Linked DNA regions of Bombyx mori. The protein of the gene in region 1 interacts with the protein of each later gene in a pairwise test. Links are inferred from orthologs where the notes say so. Each region holds a gene or a part of one and is shown in the gene's direction. Other genes may lie near its edges. The genes, in order: protein sprint and vascular endothelial growth factor receptor 1.

Region 1 (9,210 bases):
TTACTCCGCGGGCTAAGTGTGTATAATAGTGTATAATACACTCTTACAAAAATCTATACTAATAATATTATAAAGCTGAAGAGTTTGTTTGTTTGAACGCACTAATCTCAGGAACTACTGGTCCGATTTGAAAAATTTTTTCAGTGTTAGATAGCCCATTTATCGAGGAAGGCTATAGGTTATATAACATCACGCTTAGATCAATAGAAGCGGAGCACCAATAAAGAATGTTTCAAAATCGGGACTATTTATACCCTTTGAGAGCTTCCACTGCATGCGCTGCAGAAACGATTAAAGTTCCGCTAAAATAATGTATGACAGAATTGTGCCCCTTTAAAAGATCTAAAAAAAAGTCCGCGACAGAATATGTTTATATGTTAAGGTTGGCTCACTATAACGTTTTTTATGCTAACCAAATTTGTTCTAAAATAAGGCATTATTTGTGGACTATTCCACGCGGACGAAGTCGCGGGCAAAAGCTAGTATAGTAATTAAACTATTGTACTCAAGAAATTTGCTACCAAATTTAAATTTAATTTATGTACATGAATCAAAATTATTATTTTTCCATCACAAATACAATTTTTTGATGTACATAATTTTCCTATTACTCTGTACTATGTCCTCTTTTTTGTGTGTATATAAATAAATAAATAAAATAAAATAAAACAATTTTTTGTATAAAAACAAGTGGCAGTTTTCCTTAAAATTAAATTTAAATTGGCGAAAAGGTCACTTTTGACACCTTAAAACAATTCAAACTTGAAACAACAATCTCGTTATTAAGTAACGCAACGCACAGTTCAATGTCGTAGCGATCGTGCCCGCACTTTCAAAATACACTTGTTCTACACGTTCGCACGCTATTTACCAAGCTACTACATAGTTATCAAGAACTATCCGAGTTGTATTATTTTCTATTTTTTTGAATGATATAATGTCGCTGTCGCTGTAGCTAATCACACGTCAATGTCACTACCCTCTTCTAATAAGAGGTCTAAGTACTTTAATACATAAATAATACACAATAAAAATAGGTTTTTATTTATATATTTTTATTACTTTGATAAGTCAACAAGCAATAGACGTACAGTTTACAAAGTGATTCGAGATGAAAGTCTCAATTATATTTGAAACTAGCGACCCACCCTCGCTTCGGTTCGGAAACATTAAATTTTATTATTGATTGTTGAGTCCCGCGATGTTGCCCGCGGTTATTGTCGTACCGCGGGTGACGCCGCGGGAGCGAAGCTAGGCTAAAAAAGTAGCCTAAGTTACTCTTTATATCATCAGCTACCTATCAGTGAAAGACCCGTCAAAATCGGTCCAGCCGTTCCTGAGATTAGCCGGAATAAACAGACAGAAAGATAGACAAAAATTGTAAAAAATGTTATTTTGGTTTATGTACCGTATATATATATATATATATTAATAAAAAAATTATAAAAAACGGTTATTTCAATATTACAAACAGACACTCCAATTTTATTTATATGTATAGATGTATAGATAACCGTTATAGGTCAAACGGGAACATATGAGAGCACGTATTATGCATCTACTTAAATACATATTTATTTAGAAATGATACTCGCCTCAGTCTCGGAGTGACTCGGAGCTCAGTATAGTTGCATCACGCGATACGAGTGCACCTCTTTACTGGTGGTAGGACCTCTTGTGAGTCCACTGGTAGGTACCACCACCCTGCCTATTTCTTCCGTGAAGCAGCAATGCGTTTCCGTTTGAAGGGTAGGGCAGACGTTGTAACTATACTTGAGACCTTAGAACTTATACCTATCAAGAAGAGTGGCGCATTTACGTTGTAGATGTGTATGGGCTCCGGTAACCACTTAACACCAGGTGGGCTGTGAGCTCGTCCACCAATCTAAGCAACAAAAAAAACCAGACTTTTACCTACTAGAACACAGCTGTCTCAATTTACAAAAAAACATTCTAAAGTGGATTTGTAATCAACCCGTTCCCGGAGTGAAAACTAGCGAAACTTGAACACACAACTATTTTGTAACAAACAAATCTATGAATACATAAACAGTAAAAATGTTTCGTTCGTTTCCAGGGGTCTTTTTTACCACGTATATCCGTCTATGGAATGAGCTCCCCACCACGGTGCTTCCCGAGCGCTATGACATTCTTTAAAAGAGGCTTGTGGAGAGTATTAAGCGGTAGGCAGCGGCCTGGCTCTGCCCCTGGCATTGCTGAGGTCCATGGGCGACGGTAACCACTCACCATCAGGTGGGCCGTATGCTCGTCTGCCTACAAGGGCAATAAAAAAAAATGTATAAACTTTAATCTATTCACTTTCCGAAACGAATTATCTCGAAACAAAATACTTTCGTGCCGTTCCCATTGTTCACTGTGGACATAATATGACAATGTCACTTTCGTTTGATGTCCCATATATGTCGTTGTGAAAGTACAGAGTTATGAAAGTATCATTGAGGTATCACCCGTTCATGGAATTGGTTGTTACGTTGTCGTCACTGTAGCGACGACAGTAGGAAACTGTAATTGATATTTTGTATTTAAATTGCTAATTTAAATGAGATCACAAATGCTTATATTGGTTACAAACAAAATGCTATGTCACGATTGACTTCCACGGTGAAGGAATAACATCGTGTAATAAAAAATCAAACCCGCAATATTATAGTTTGCATAATTATTGGTGGTAGGACGTTTTTTTTTATTGCCTTTGTAGGCAGACGAGCATCCGGCCCAACTGATGGTAAGTAGTCACCGTCGCTCATGGACGTCAGCAATGCCAGGGGCAGAGACAAGCCGCTGCCTACTTGGACGTCCCTACAAGGACGTCTTGTTAGTCCGCTCGGGTAGGTACCACTACCCTGCCTATTTCTGCCCTGAAGCAGTAATGGGTTTCGGTTTGAAGGGTGGTGCAGCCATGAAAGCAATAAAAATAAAAAAATTGTAGAACTACTTTCAAATCGAATACTGAAAATTCATAACAGCAAACAAAAAAGTTGCAGTCTTAAGTTAGATATTGTTTTATTGAATTATTTTCCGATTTCCCAACCGTAGTTCATAGTTTCACATTAACCTGTATCCTTAATATTTAATATATTTTAATCTTCAAGACTATTATAAATCTGAAGCTTTGTGACTTCCATATAAAAACGCCGACTGCCTTAATAGCGGTAATGCAATGCAATCATGAACGGCCTTGCATGAATTACAACAACGCCGTAACAAGAAATACTAGTTTTCTTGATGAATATCAACGTAGACTTATTAAAAAAAAAAACTAAAATTACCGAGACTCCACAGCTTCTTAATGAAATGAAATTCACAATAAACGGAAGAAACACAAGATACTTTATTTGACACAAAGAAAATATGCTATTGCAAAACTCGAGATACAGGGCTTAATTATCATTGATAATGATGGGAAAGTAGACGACGAGGTCCAAAAAGGGAATGAATGTGGAAATGATGAAGGTATATTGTTCCGGACATGCGTAGAGTGGGACACGACCAGAGCGAGCCTAGCCAACGCGCGCTAACGTCAGTCGTAGCCGGGTTTGCGCGGCGAGCGTCGTCTCTTTGTAGATACGCTTTTTTTTCTTGTACACATATCAAATTTCACGAGAAAATTTGATATAGTCGTCGATCTGTGAATAGTGTATGAAAAAAGTTTACGAAGAACGTTCGGTAATTGTTTGTTTCACTACACTTGCGCTGTTATTTTTTATTATTTTTATTATTTGCTCTATGATGTTGCGTAGTGTTTTTTATCAGTGAATATCCGTTGGATTGTTTTGTTGTAGTTCCAAGTATGTATCTTTTTTTTTTGTTGTATTTATCTTTTTTGCAATTTCTTGTTAGAATTATTTCTTAATGGTAACGTCAACAGAGTTGCTTTATCATGGCTGATAAGTGTTATCTACTGGGACACGTTGTTGTGTATAAAATGGCAGTTTATAATGCATTTTAATTTAGAATTGATTTGTTGATATTAAGATTACTTAAATCTAATTTTTTTTAAATTATATACCTATTACAGTTGAATATTTTGGACGTAATGGAATTATAATTACAGGAAAATGTGAAAAAAATCCATTAGAGATAGCACACATAAAATGAGGTAAAAATTGATAATGGAGTTCGATAAACAAACTCTACCGACTTTGCGGTGTAACATTCAGTGTATTGATTGAGGCCTATTATAACTATGACGAGTTGCCTTCGCTTGTTGTGAATAGCCGAGTATATGAAATAAGATAGACAAAGAAGGGATTTGAATATAAGGCGAGGGGGCCCTTGAAATTGATCGCCGTGTTTCTCCCCAGGCTCTGGTTAACCGAGCCCTTGAATCGTAAGCTTAATGTGGTACAAATTTGATTTGATGCTAGCGTTACTTCAACTCTCGGCATTTTGCATTAAAAATATATCTAGAGCTATATTGATTGCAAAACAAGGCATAGAAAAACGTAACGGTTAACAATTTGAATTAGCTTGGGATTATGTATTAGAAGCTTCTTAATATTTCATCCAAACAGGTTTGAAAATATTGTAACGAAGGTGACGCGTGCCGTTTGTATTTAATTCTATATCAGTGATGTTGGGCTACCAGTGGAGCCCGTAATTGGGACCCGTAATGGCTTAAGGCCCTTTTTTCGATCTGTCCTATTGTTGTGCTCATAGGGTGTCGGTCGTTGACATTGGCATTCCCCTTTACGAATTGAGATTTGCAACGATATTTCATTGCATGTCGGATTAACAATACATCATTTTTAATCTAGTTTCCATTATTATTATTATTAATAAATTATATGACTTGTTAATCTGTGCCATAAATGAAATCTGTCGTTTCGTATTGACCATTAGCGATTATAATCCGAAACATTTCACTATTACGTTCGTTCGTCCGATCATTTCATTTTGTTGCTTATTAAAAACAAGGTGTTCAAAAATTATTCTTCGATTTCGGTCAAACTAATTTGAAGTTGTAGAAACCATAAAAGGTACCTAATTCAGTGATGATGGCATTAGTTACACAATTGAAAGTGTCATTCTAAAAGCGACATAATTTTGATAGCTCTATAATGGTTATTTTCTAATTGGGTATTTTAAAATATTTTATATTTTGATAAAACAAATCGTCCGTTGAGCGTATAGCTGAATTTTCACTATAGAAAATCAAAACAAAATGCCATCGAAGTCGATCGACTAGCAGAACATTACCAAAGCAACTCTAACTTGACTAATGACTACCCACATACTCAACCCGTCCCATAAATTTAAATTGGCCAAAACAATGCGATCACAGAGTGCCGGGCCACAGTACCGTTAGTCAGCGGCTCGAGATCTTATATTTTGTGTTTCTATTAGCGGAGGCAACTATCTTTGATAACTAGCTACCGATTGCGTAAACGGTCTCTTTTTTGCACGTGCATTATTTTGCAATGCTAACGGGTTTTGATGGAAACTTCTAAACTGGATTCGCACATATTTCTATATCTAGACTAATCTAGATCAATCCGGGCTTAGCATTTCTTTATACTTTTCTGTCCATAAAAACAGTTTTACGTTTTTGACATTGAAGAGGATGAATTATCATCCGTTAACTTTGAGTGCTACATTCACTTTTTCATTAGCTATGCCCACATGTTCACGTTTTCGTATAACCTTTCATTAAATACCCACCTACTCGTGTTATTTACTCACCGAACGTAGGTAGCGTCTTTCTGCTGTTTGTATATAATTCTGGCATCATCAGTAACCGTAGCAGGTCTATCCTAGGGCGTTGCACCGCCGCAGCGATGGAATGTGACCGATCGTGATTATGAAATGCCGTGACTCTGCAAACGATTCTCTATTCGAATACGCAATTGTTTATCGTAATATTTTATAGACATTCCCAACTTTTATTCCGGCAAAAAAGCATAACAAGTAAGCCACTATCGCGATTACTGTATGCTGTTCGCCTAATGGTATCTCTAATTGCGTTTCTTGCTCGACTGCTAGCACTCCCGTTCATGAGTTTTTAATTACCTCTTTTATATGGCGTAACATTCACTAATGTGCACGACTAAGGTCGGTACGGAATATAAGGAGACCCATTGTTTCGAACAGCTCCTTATATTGCGAATAGCGGTTCAACTTCATAGGGTGCGACTGACCGCCAAAGTACCATGTGCCCAAATTCTTGGAATGCTCCCTGAATGTAATTACCTATTTACGGTCCTAACTGATATTTTAAATGATTGCTATTCATTAATGTCTGCCTATTAGGCCATCTATAAATATCTTAGTTTGTGCTTATCGGGATAGCAATTCTGCTCTTACATAATATATATCATCGTATTCATCAAAACTTTAATGTGGTTAAGTGTAAATCTTATCAACTCCCACTTGGGACATCAAAGAGTGATGGAAGCGATTCGTCATGCTCCCTACTATTTGACCTATTTATGAGAGAATTTCAACTTGGGCTTTTTTATAGAATATCAGGGCCATTAGTAAGTAAGACGGTGAACGGGCGACCCCTATGAAGAAATCAATCGCTTTCACGCTGCGTTAGATATTTTATTGTTTTATCCTGGTTGAGTCATTCGGGTTAGCGAAGCAGATTCTATTTGTTTTATGTATTATTTAATCTCAACACAAGGAATTGCTTTTATTTTGAGATGTTTGTGGTCCGTTGACATAGATGTATGTGATAATAGATTCATTAATCGTTGCTTAATGGGCTTAATTTAATGGGGATGTTTCAGATTACGGTTAAATAATCTTTTAGCTCTTATCTATCTCTCACGATATCTATGTCAATGATATTTTCCCTCTTCGTTAATTCAAATTTAAAATCATTGATTTAAATTCGGATGTAATCCACTTATTCGAATTCAAAATAAAGACGATAACTACACTTAACACTAACAAAAACTACTATCGCTTAAAATTTTTGAACAATTTACATAGCTTTGTTGGTTTTTATTGTATATTTTTCATAATAAGTAAAAGCTTATTTTTTCCGAGCGATTTACCGTGATTACTACTTTAACTTCATGAATATGGAATAGGATTATTTTACAAAAACCATATCCATCTTATTTGTGATATTTCAAGGCTATTTCAAGCTCTAAGATAGTAGGATATTGGAAACAAATGTGTCTACGCCATTAATGTACATTTTGGGCTATTACAACTGACCGGTACTTGAATCCTATGTTACTATCCAACAATACAAAATAAATAATTGATTTTTAGTATAGTTAAAAGGAAAAAACAAACAAATTGATATGTAAATTTAAATACGATACAGTTGAATACATCAGTATTCTTGTCATTGGCATCCAAAACCTGTAGGTAACATAGGCATCGTTTGCTTGTGTAAACTTGTCGTGTTTGTATGCTCAGTCTGAGTTGCATCTCAATTACTATACGCAGTTGATTTGACCTCAGTACAATAATATCATCATAAGTAATCAGAACACTTTAAATAAACAGAGATAAAAACCTACCATTCTAAAAAAGCTTGGAGACATCAGACTTGACGTGAATTTTCACATTTGGTTCACGACAATCCAAACCACGGCAAAAATAAGAATTATCTTAAATCATAGCTCCTCTTACTATTCTAATCATTTAACTGCCACCGCTTATAGCTACTCAGATATTGATAAGGCGATTGATACATGTAATAAATAAGATCGTGGCGTTAAGTTGTGCTCGATTCACTTTGTGCAAAAATTCCGGTAAAAAATTGCTTGTTCCGATCCTCTGGTTAGCGATAAGTATTAAAAATGAAACCCCATTTGGCCTCTGAATTGTTTTTGCGCAAAGTGATACTCTTTGTACTGAGGCTTTGATAAAACATATAAAAAAATCCTCGAAACGCTATGCATTTTATTTCGAATATTTTTTATTTTATTTTATAAACCTAACCTGTACAAAGCAAAGTATCATAAATCTGAATAATTTTATTCAACAAATAATAATCAATAGACTCTATGACATAGAGAAATAACTAATTAAAAAAATCATCGCAATGATTTCCAAAAGGACATAGAGAACGCTTATAAAATTAAATTTCTCGAGTATCAATAACAAAAATATTGGGCAGAAGTCGGAAGTCTTCGGACACATTGTGGCTTTTGCCTTCCTGTGAGCGACGAGACTTGAATACTGATCGACGTTTGAGAGTCCCACATCGGGTACCCTTCACTTAGGTAAAGTGGTGATCTCGTGTGTTCCATTATTTGAATAGTTATCACGTTAGAGATTTTAACATCCTTGAGCTCATCACCTTGCCTTACAACATCTAGTAAAGCATTTCGTTGAATTTAAATTTTGGTTATTGATGTTTAATGGCTGCTTCGGCGACCGTAATCCATACGGTGCCAACGTTTTATGTCTATTTAAGACTCTATTAAAATATTAGAACTCTAAACCATTATGCGATAGTTGTTTTATACGTTTTTTGTAATACTGTGACAGAATTATTAATTGGTAACAACATAATTTCTCTTAGGTACAGTCCGACGCTCGTTTCGTCATTCTTGTGAATCGTGAACGAAATAATGCAAGTCGTATTGATAGTCGTTTACGTAGTAAGTCACGTCCACGATCTGTATAGCGGACTTCTTAGGTCTAGGCCAAGGTTCATTGTATCTAGTTGAAGAAGCAGGTCACTGGATGAATCTTCGAACACTACCAACGCATCCACTTTGGATAATAGATTCGCGAAACGCCCACATAATCCTACACATAATGTTGTTCATTTGTTATCCAAGGCTATACCAGAATATTATGACTTGTAATTAATGCTTCTCCGTTCACTTCCAAAAGGAGGCCGTCCTTCTGATCAGATATTATGATAATCTTGAAGGTTTTTTAAATTAATTTATAGCTGAAGGTAAGCTCTCGTTCTCACTAAACGATTATCGGAGCTGATAGATAAGAGTTGGCGCTAGATATTGCATTGCCTCGATCTTCTGATTAACAGCCAAACAATTATCATATAAGACCTTCTGTTTAAATATTTATATTGCTATTTGCTTCTGTATCGATCTTACCTGTCTTCAAGTCAGTACGCGGGAATCAGAGCTATGGTTTTTCGAATCTAAAAACAAAATGTTATCAAAACAAACCCGGTGTCCTAATTTTGTACGGTACATCGGCATTCTGTCTGATCAATATCACTTTTATCACTGTTTCATTGTTGCGTAAACT
Region 2 (9,110 bases), on another chromosome or scaffold:
CTAAGGAGACAGAATAGTGATCGTACGACGCCATAAAAAATGAATAAAATTTACATTCATAAGAGTTAATTACATTTTTGACTTTATCAGTTTATTACATTATCTGCATTTTGAAGTCATAATTGTTTGCGATTTAATCTCGTAACAGTTCAATATTTCATCAATTTAGTTATTCCGGTATAATAGAAATTGGAAATCTATAAAGAAACTTGTCATTCATCTTAATCATTAAGTCATTAAAATTAATTATTTTTAAGAAATTTTAGATCATTTGTAATTGCGGGTCTTAGTTGCTTTCGAGCCATATGTAATTCGTGTGGCGTGTAAATAATTACATCGTGTATGCGGTTTTTTTTTAATTACCCTTGTAGGCAGAACAGCATACGGCCCACCTGATGGTGAGGGGTTGCCGTTGCTCATAGACAATCAGAAATACCAACGGCACAGCCAAGACGCTGCCATTAGGCGGTTGCTGAAAAATGGTTCCGAATGATGCGAAGCGATCCGCAAGTAGGAATGTTGTTGACGGCGTGCTGAAGTTAGAAAACACAACCTGAATTAGAGAATACAAAACTCGAGATGCACCTGGTGTTTTCTAAGGGTTCATCACGGTGTTTCTGGCGGCGAAGAGAAGTTGGCACCTAACCATGTTAATTGATACAAGCCTACTATGGTGCGATAGTTGCGAATTAATATAGATTTAAAAAAAATTGCTAGCGTCGCGTTGCCTTTTTAGAAGCGAAGATTATCGAGGGGTGTTCGAAATACAAAGCTATATTTTCTTTGAATCTGATTTTAATTCTTAGGGCTTTAAGGGGATTAATTGGATTCCAAAGAGGCGGCGTCATAAGCGTACAAACTCAAATTCAAAACTTTGTTCGATATAAGATGGCGCTTATCTAGTAATAGTGACCAAATCTTCTGTTTCAATGACGAGAAAAAAAACCCAAACTCAGGTCAATGACATTAAGTGACGAAGTAAATAACACAAAAAACAAAAACTTGCTTCATTTATCTCGAACATTATATTTATCTGTGTACTGTAATATCACAAGTATTCAAGATATGTATTAGATACCGTTTGTTACGTTATTTTTATGATCTGTTTATATGCTATCAATATCTATGAACAGTTTGGTAAGCCGAACGAACCATAACTACCCAGTTAACGTAATCGTTTCGCGTGACCAACCGATATTGGCCGAGAACTTCCCTTATTCGAGTCGAGATTTATTGCTCTCATCAAACTGGAATAAGTTTTGACGGTTAACCGGCCGCATTGCTAGTTTTTCGTATTAAGTTGTGGCGGGTAGCCATCATACAAAGCAAGATAATTGACAGATGCCTGAATCTCGCTTACGACATTTTCAAGATAAAGCGCATATATACAAGTTCCGAACAACAACATTCGGACCGTCGGTCTACCGAGCAATATCATCCGCTCGGTGGAAGATCTTCCCTTTGTCGTTAATCAGCTCCAAAATGTTTTACGGATCAGGAATAACACATTTTTTAATGCATCATCAAACAAATAAACTACGAAAATCAATCAATCGAAAAACCTGAGGTGCGCGACAAGAAGGGCCCAGTTCCGTTGAAATTCTGTAAAATAAGTTTCTACTGGTGCTGGCCGCAGTTTTTAAAATCCGCATTTCGGAAACGTAAAAATTCTTAACCAATCTATATCTATTCTTTGCGACAGTGCTATGTAATATTTAAATGCTAAATTTAGACAATTGGGCTACGGTCATTCCATTAATATCTAAAAAAATGCAAAAAAAAAAACTGGAACCAGTAAGGCACAGTAATCTGGCCCAAAATTACGATTTCCTGTGTTATAGGAACCACAGACTAATATGTATATATACGTTTAAACATATAGATAGATAATAATCACCCAGGCAAAAAGAAAATGAGCTCACGGCCTACCTGATTTTTAGTGGTTACCTGAGCCTTTAGACATCACACGTGAATACTTCACCTTTAAAAATGAGGACGAAATCTCACCATCGTATTATAGCGCTGTCCCACTCTTCAAACCGATTTACGGTCTTTACGGTCAATATACTAGGTTGGTAGGTACTTACCTGAGGAGATTCACAAGACACCCTACCACGAAAGTAAGTTTCTTGGTTTATAACGCTTTCACGTCTTAACAACTCAATCGGTGATCGTGCCATTTCAATGTTGTTAGGTGTACAGAAAAATACATAAGAAGTCGCGGTTCAAAGCTGGCAATCTAATAATACTCGTACTATATAGTTAATTTGTTAAAAATTCACAGTTTGTTACAATTGGTTAACACTTGGTTTTGGAAGAAAATAACTGAAATACACTATATATACACTTGATGATATTTTAATATTTAAAAACTTGCCATAAGCAGTGCTACTGTTTCGGTTTTTTTTGTTCTAAGTAATAAAATATTAGTGCGCAAGTTTATACTTTAACTATTGGTCGCCCAGGCATCGTCCGGGTGAATCGGGAAATCGTGCTAAAATTTCATTACAGTTCAAGATTATGCTTCATTTAAAAATGACGAATTTTTAACACCTAAGTCAGATTGTTTCAGTGTAGCACTGCTCTTGATAGGGCTAACTAGTGGCTAGTGTTAGCAATTCTCTCAGATTGAGTCCGTATGTCTACCTACCGGTCCGCACAAAGTGGAATAGCCTCTTAAGACTATTAACGATTAGGTATTAGATTAGGTAGGGAAAAAAAGATGGTGAAATACATTGTTATTTTATATTATACCAGAAAGACGTCACTGCGAACTTAATGTGATGAGACGGCTACCAATTTTGTTGATAAGTGAAACGACGGGATCCTAATCACTTAATTGATCGCCTTATCCAATTTTGATACCATTATTATTAACAGGGAACTGTGTAATACGACGTACATTTTTCGTTCTCCTGGTAAGATTAATTTTCCGAATGTTGACCGCGCCTTTGTCACACCCTGTATACGAATTCTGCTAATTAATAGTGTTACTGTCGATCGACGTAGTTAGGTGTCTTGTCCTATATTGACGGACTCTAACGCACTGAAGTGAATTTTGGTAATTCTATGTCAGGATGTTTTGATTTTTTTTCCCAAAGTACCATCTTATCACTTAAGTCTTGGTCATCATTCCCGTGTTTATTCGTATCATTATCATATCCAAAAATATAAGTTTTACGCAAACATTATCGTTGGTTAATATTTAATTTAAGTAGATGGGCATTAGTCTATCGTTTATTCAGTTTATTTTATCCCTTCCACCTCCATGATGATATATTGTTCCATCGATGCGTGAATCGAAACATAAAACTCAACCTTGTTAGGAACAACTGTGTTTATCTTCGTAACATGATTAACTGTTAAACTCTACCTACATGACACGACCCTTCGAACATTGACAAATTGGTTTTTGTATAATTTACGTTATAGAATATGTAAAATATTGATTCCGTCCATTTATAATACATTCAAAACGTTATATAAAAATGAGTGTTCTATGTTGTAGTCTGTATCTATATTTTATGTTAGGGAAAATAATTGGCTAGCTAAATTATCTAGTTGATTTTTAAGTTGAATTTGAGTTGAACTTTCAACTTAAAAATAACAAATGGTTGTCGTTTCCAGATTTTCACCCCAATGGCCCAAAAATAACTCCATGTAGGAGTGAATTTATATTGCACAAGGGACAAAATTTTTCACTCACATGCAGAGGAAAAAACCCGCTTGAATTCAAACAACAAGAAACACCGGAAGAATTACCTAAAAACAAACCAATAAAAACGATGAGACAGACATCCGATTCCGAGTACCCTTTTGAGACAATTATAAACATATATAACGTCGACGAATACGCTATAGGCTATTATGCATGTTTTGATGATGTAAAAACAAACTTTACCTTAAATAATCTCATAGAAGAGCCGAGAAACACAGAGAACGCTTCTTTTATTTACATTTACGTTGAGGGTGAGAAAATAGTTTTATTACAAAAATTATCAATTAAGTAATGTGAAAAGTTAAATTTCAATGATCCAATGAATATTTTAGGATCAGATAGTCTGATTGCACCGATGAGAGAAATTGTTGTACCAAGAGACTGTTCTAAGATTGTAATAGAATGTAGACCGACAACACCAGACGTCAATGTCACGCTTTCATCGGTATGTATGGATAAATTTTGCAGAAGTCATAATGTGTAAAATCTGTCCGTGACAAAAGAAAAACCAATTCTGTAAATTCATATCAGGAAATATCAAACGGGTGTTACTACAAGAACTCATTTAGTAATTAATTGCTTTGCGTTTTTGCTTTCTCTTTGCATATAATAATTCAATGATAATGCAAAAACTCTTGAGTAGAATGCATGTGAAGTAAATAATACCGCTTGTTGCTGATTGAGTCATTAAAGCATGATAATAATAAATACTTTTCAAATCATGGTGTAATATTTAACAACATTTTAATATTCAGGAAATTCCAGACTATTACTACCCGTCATTTCGATACAGTCCAAAAATTGGTTTTGTACCTGAGAACTCTATGCCCTCAGATGATCAAATCATTAGCTTTGTACTATGCGAATTTGTAAGAGGAGAAACACGGATTGAGAAATATATTTATGTTTCAAAACGTAGGTGAATAGATGCTGTTTGATCCAATCAAAATTATTAGTCACATTCACGAGAAAATTATTTAAAAGTGTTTTTTAAATAGTCGATTTATTTACTCTACGTAATTTAAACATTACTTCGTTTTCTCGTGATGGTGGCACGAATGTTTTTCATTTTTATGATTATTTACGCATCAAAACGACAAACAGTTAGGACAATTAAAAATCATAAAATAGGAAAACATTATACTTACTTCTACGAAATATCAACTAACCACATCTATATTATTTATTGGAAATAATCACTAGCCTACGAGTAGAGAGAATCAAGAATCCATAAAATACTATCCAAAGATTGGATTTGTAATGAGTTCGTGTGGTAGGTCTGGTTTCAATTGCACCGGACAACGTGGAAATCAATCTAAGTGGAAACTCATACGTAGTAAGTAGCGCTACTATCTTGATGTCACCTAACAGGTAGCGAGATGTAATGGTTTTATTCACTGGAATGGTTTAAGTTATCCGTGTTCTGTGTATTACTAGCTTACAGCTTGACTACTTCCTAAATCCTATACTTTTTTTGGTTTCTACATCTGTGTGGTTATTTTGCATGTCAACGTCTGTATATACACTAACAAATTAACACTGCTATACTTCTTTATATTTAAGTTTAGTTTTCTACGTTGTTTTTTTTTACTTTGTTTTCAATTATCCAATTCTTCTGAAAGATGAAGAAATATATGTTATTTTTTTGTGATTTGTTGCTGATGTGTTAGTTTAGACATTTCTTTTTATTAGCATTGTAGTACATGAATACATATGATCAGTGTTCAGGTTGATATCAAATTACCGTATGTGTTCTTTTCAGATATTAAAAAACCTCCAAAACCAAAGGTTGCAGGTGGACATAAACAATTTTTAGAAGGTGAAACATTTACAATACACTGCCGTGTACCAAATGATGGATTAATTAATTTCAAATGGAAGTATCCTCCTGAAGTTACCAATGTGAGTCTAGTACAAACCAAAATACTATGGAAAGATTTACCTATAATGTTTTTACGAATTGAACTTAAAATGTGGAGATAACAAAGCATTAAGATGTTAAGTGACTAATCTCAGAACTGATGAAAGTACATATAAAAAATAATTTAACCACCTCATTGTATAGTTGATTAATTTATAAATTCAAACATTTGTCCGCACGGGTAGGGATCACCGCCCTGTCTATTTCAGTCGTGAAGCAGTAATGCGTTTCGGTTTGAAGGGTGGGGCGGCCGTTGTAACTATATTTGAGACCTTAGAAATCATATCTCAAAGTGGGTGGCGGCACGTTTACGTTATAGATGTCTATGAGTTTCGGTAACTACTTAAAACCAGGTAGGCTGTGCGCTCGTCCACCCATCAATGTAATAAATAAATAAAAAAAAATAAAAAATATTGTTGTACACGTCAAAAAGACTACCGTTTATTACGATGCCTACTTGAAAACATACAACTCAGATTGATGTCTATGGACTCTGGTAGCCTCACCAGTTGGACCGAGAGTTTAATATTAATAGAAAGTGAACAATTATCCATCGCGATACACCTCTAAAGTTCCATTATTCGCATTTGCCAGATTTGACATTCACGAAACTATACGATCGGGTAATTAATTAGTTGACAGTCAATTGGCATTGTATTTATAATTTTTGCTCATGGAAAACTATTTTGCTTTCGATATGCGTGTCTAATTTAAAATTCCAACTTTAAAAATTGCCGTTCACAGGACTCAGTGGAAGTATCTGTGGTCAAGACTGAAGCTACGACTACTGGTTCAATAGTTTATCAGAATATTACTATCCGAAATGCTACCAAGAAACACAATGGAGTATACACCTGCCTTTTAACGAATACTTGTGGAGAGGAGAAAGATGAGTTCAGGAAAATATTTTTAGGTAATATCATTCTTATTTTCTACTAAAAATGGTAGCATATGTAGCCGCTAGCCATAAATCTGAAATTTAAATAAATTAAATAAATATCCAAATATAAAAAAATAAATAGCCAATCTGAAATTTAAATAAATTATCATAATTTATGGTAAAATTAAATTTATGACTTTAATTTTTTTTGTTTTTTGTTTTTTTGTTTTATTGTTTAGTGGGGTGGACTTGCTCAACAACGGCTTCCTCACCCTTCAAACCGAAACGCATGACTGCTTCACGGCAGAAACAGGCGGGGTGATGGTACCTACCCGCGCGGACTCACAAGTGGTGCTACCACCAGTAAATTCTAGTTCTTTCTCGTAATTTCTAGTTTTTAACTGATATTCTATGTTTAAATGCTTCTAAAATAAATTACTTTATAAGTTATTGAAGTATTTAAACCATAGGTATCCGCAAGTTAGTTTGCGTCAGCTGTTGTGGTCGCTTGCAAATCCATTTATACATTAAACCATGTAACAAATCTATAACGCGATTCAGAAATAATGATAACACCATTTATCGAGTAATTAATAAAATCGTTTAGTTTAAATACCCATTCCACTTTACATTCCTGCCTCAAACGCCTTTTGTTTTAAGGTTTAGAACAATAACTACTTGAACACAATTATATCAGCGGTATTGTTTTATAATACAAATCGTGCTTCAGTTTTACATATTTTCATATTAAATTATGTTACAGAAAAACCTTTTTTATCGCTGAGAGATCTAGCGAAAGGTAAACTTATGGGAAATGCAAATAAATCCATTAATATTGTCATTGAGATTGAAGCGTATCCCCCAGTTGAAAGGACACATTTGTGAGTAAAAACATCTATTTCAAATTAAACCATTTTTTCAGATAAAGGTAATTGGGATTTGGTGATATTAATATTAAACATCTTGAAATTGATTTTATTCTTAATATTAAATAGCTAGTAAATAGCTACTCTAAAAATACTGTATTTGCTATGTTGTCAATTGTATATGGAAAAAGTCACAAAGGCCACAAAATAGCGATACTATTTTTATTCTTCGTTTTTTTTTTCAGCTTAAAAAACGATAAATATTTACCATCAAATGATTTGAAATACAACGTAACCACATTAGCTAATGGAGATCCTAAACTTCGTATTAACGATTTGAAACTGACCGACATTGCCAACTATACTTTAGTAGCGGAGAATAAATACTTGACGAAGAATTATACCGTGGATCTTAGAGTTTTCAGTAAGTATCGAAAATAATAATAAAAAACATAAGTTACGGCCTTAGCATTTTTCAGTAAAAAAAGGTCGTTCTCAAGTTCACAACTATAACAATGTACCTACATGTAAATAAACCACTGCGGTCCTTTTCATAATAAGCTATCGGAACTTTATAAGACTGTCGAAATTTGTTATTTATATGGCCTTATTTCATATTGAGGACATCGACGTTATGAAAATACGTTTTCAACAGCGTTTTTTCAGTCGAATATCAAAATAATCTACATAGCCGGGGTCAAACTTTTAAAACTGAAGTGGCCTCAATTATATTGTGAAATCGTTGATGTTTAGTTAATTCGATCATAAACAGTACCGGCTGTAAAGTCAATAAAGTATGTATTGCTATAAACGTTTCAGTTTTTGAAAATCTTCTTATAACAGACTAATAAATAAATAGCACATATGGCCTTACTCATTATGAAGATGACCGCAATTTGCTAGTACCTACAGACCGCCACCCACCTCGAGACATAATGATCGAAGTCTCAATTATATTGTATGTATAACGATTTTCTCACCCTAAAAACCCGTACATATAAATGGACTGCGATAGAAGTAGGCATGTTGGTGGTACCTATCCATACTACTAGTAACTAAGCTCATGTATTTAAATGAATATTGTTCGTTTATGCTTATTTAATTGAAACGTTACAGCAAAACCTGAAGCTAAACTGTTAAATAATAGGATCATTAAACGTCTTGAGAATTCAGAGATGAACTTTGCGTGCAAAGTTACAGGTTATCCTTTACCAGACGTAACCTGGATTTTTTCTAATGACGAGGAGCATGAACTGGTAATAAAACTAATTTTTAATATATACATAAATAGATAGTTAGTTGATCACGAAAAAAGTGTAAATAATAATAGCAGATTGATTTATAATGAACGTTTTAAATTGAATTGTGAGTTACAATTGCAATAATAAGTACACATAGCATGCTATTACTAGTAGTTAATAGTTTTAGACAAGTTAACTGTAATGCTGATGGTATTTTTTATTCCTGATATATTTTGGATTAAAGAAGGAGTAATACTTTAAATTTTAAGTATCCTTCATTTTCGTACGTAATACATTTAAAATTTATAGCTATGATTTATCCGCGTAAATACCGCTGGATTTTGATTCTCAAATTTTAAACTTTCAGTCATCCACGAAATCAGAGCAAGAGTCTTTGTATGCGAAAACGGATTATCTCAAAATATCAGTGCAAGCTTCTGGTGTCATAACTTGTAATGCACACAACTCCAAGGGGGAATATTTT

The links.
Region 2: the proteins of protein sprint (region 1) and vascular endothelial growth factor receptor 1 interact in a two-hybrid assay, tested with the Drosophila melanogaster proteins (2 studies listed by BioGRID). The link is inferred for Bombyx mori from reciprocal best matches to the Drosophila melanogaster genes spri and Pvr.

Annotation. Positions count from the first base shown.
Region 1 is NC_085124.1:6,168,228-6,177,437, reverse strand, and holds the start of protein sprint, read left to right. Parts: upstream 1-3,546; 5' UTR 3,547-3,660; coding exon 3,661-3,687; exon of another isoform or gene 3,688-3,809; intron 3,810-9,210. UniProt on the Drosophila melanogaster protein: Potential Ras effector protein. May function as a guanine nucleotide exchange (GEF), by exchanging bound GDP for free GTP.
Region 2 is NC_085119.1:9,930,788-9,939,897, reverse strand, and holds part of vascular endothelial growth factor receptor 1, read left to right. Parts: intron 1-3,359; exon of another isoform or gene 3,360-3,488; coding exon of another isoform or gene 3,489-3,507; intron 3,508-3,627; coding exon 3,628-3,969; intron 3,970-4,050; coding exon 4,051-4,163; intron 4,164-4,473; coding exon 4,474-4,633; coding exon of another isoform or gene 4,634-4,637; intron 4,638-4,921; coding exon of another isoform or gene 4,922-5,054; intron 5,055-5,480; coding exon 5,481-5,620; intron 5,621-6,383; coding exon 6,384-6,552; intron 6,553-7,282; coding exon 7,283-7,400; intron 7,401-7,630; coding exon 7,631-7,809; intron 7,810-8,501; coding exon 8,502-8,641; intron 8,642-8,993; coding exon 8,994-9,110.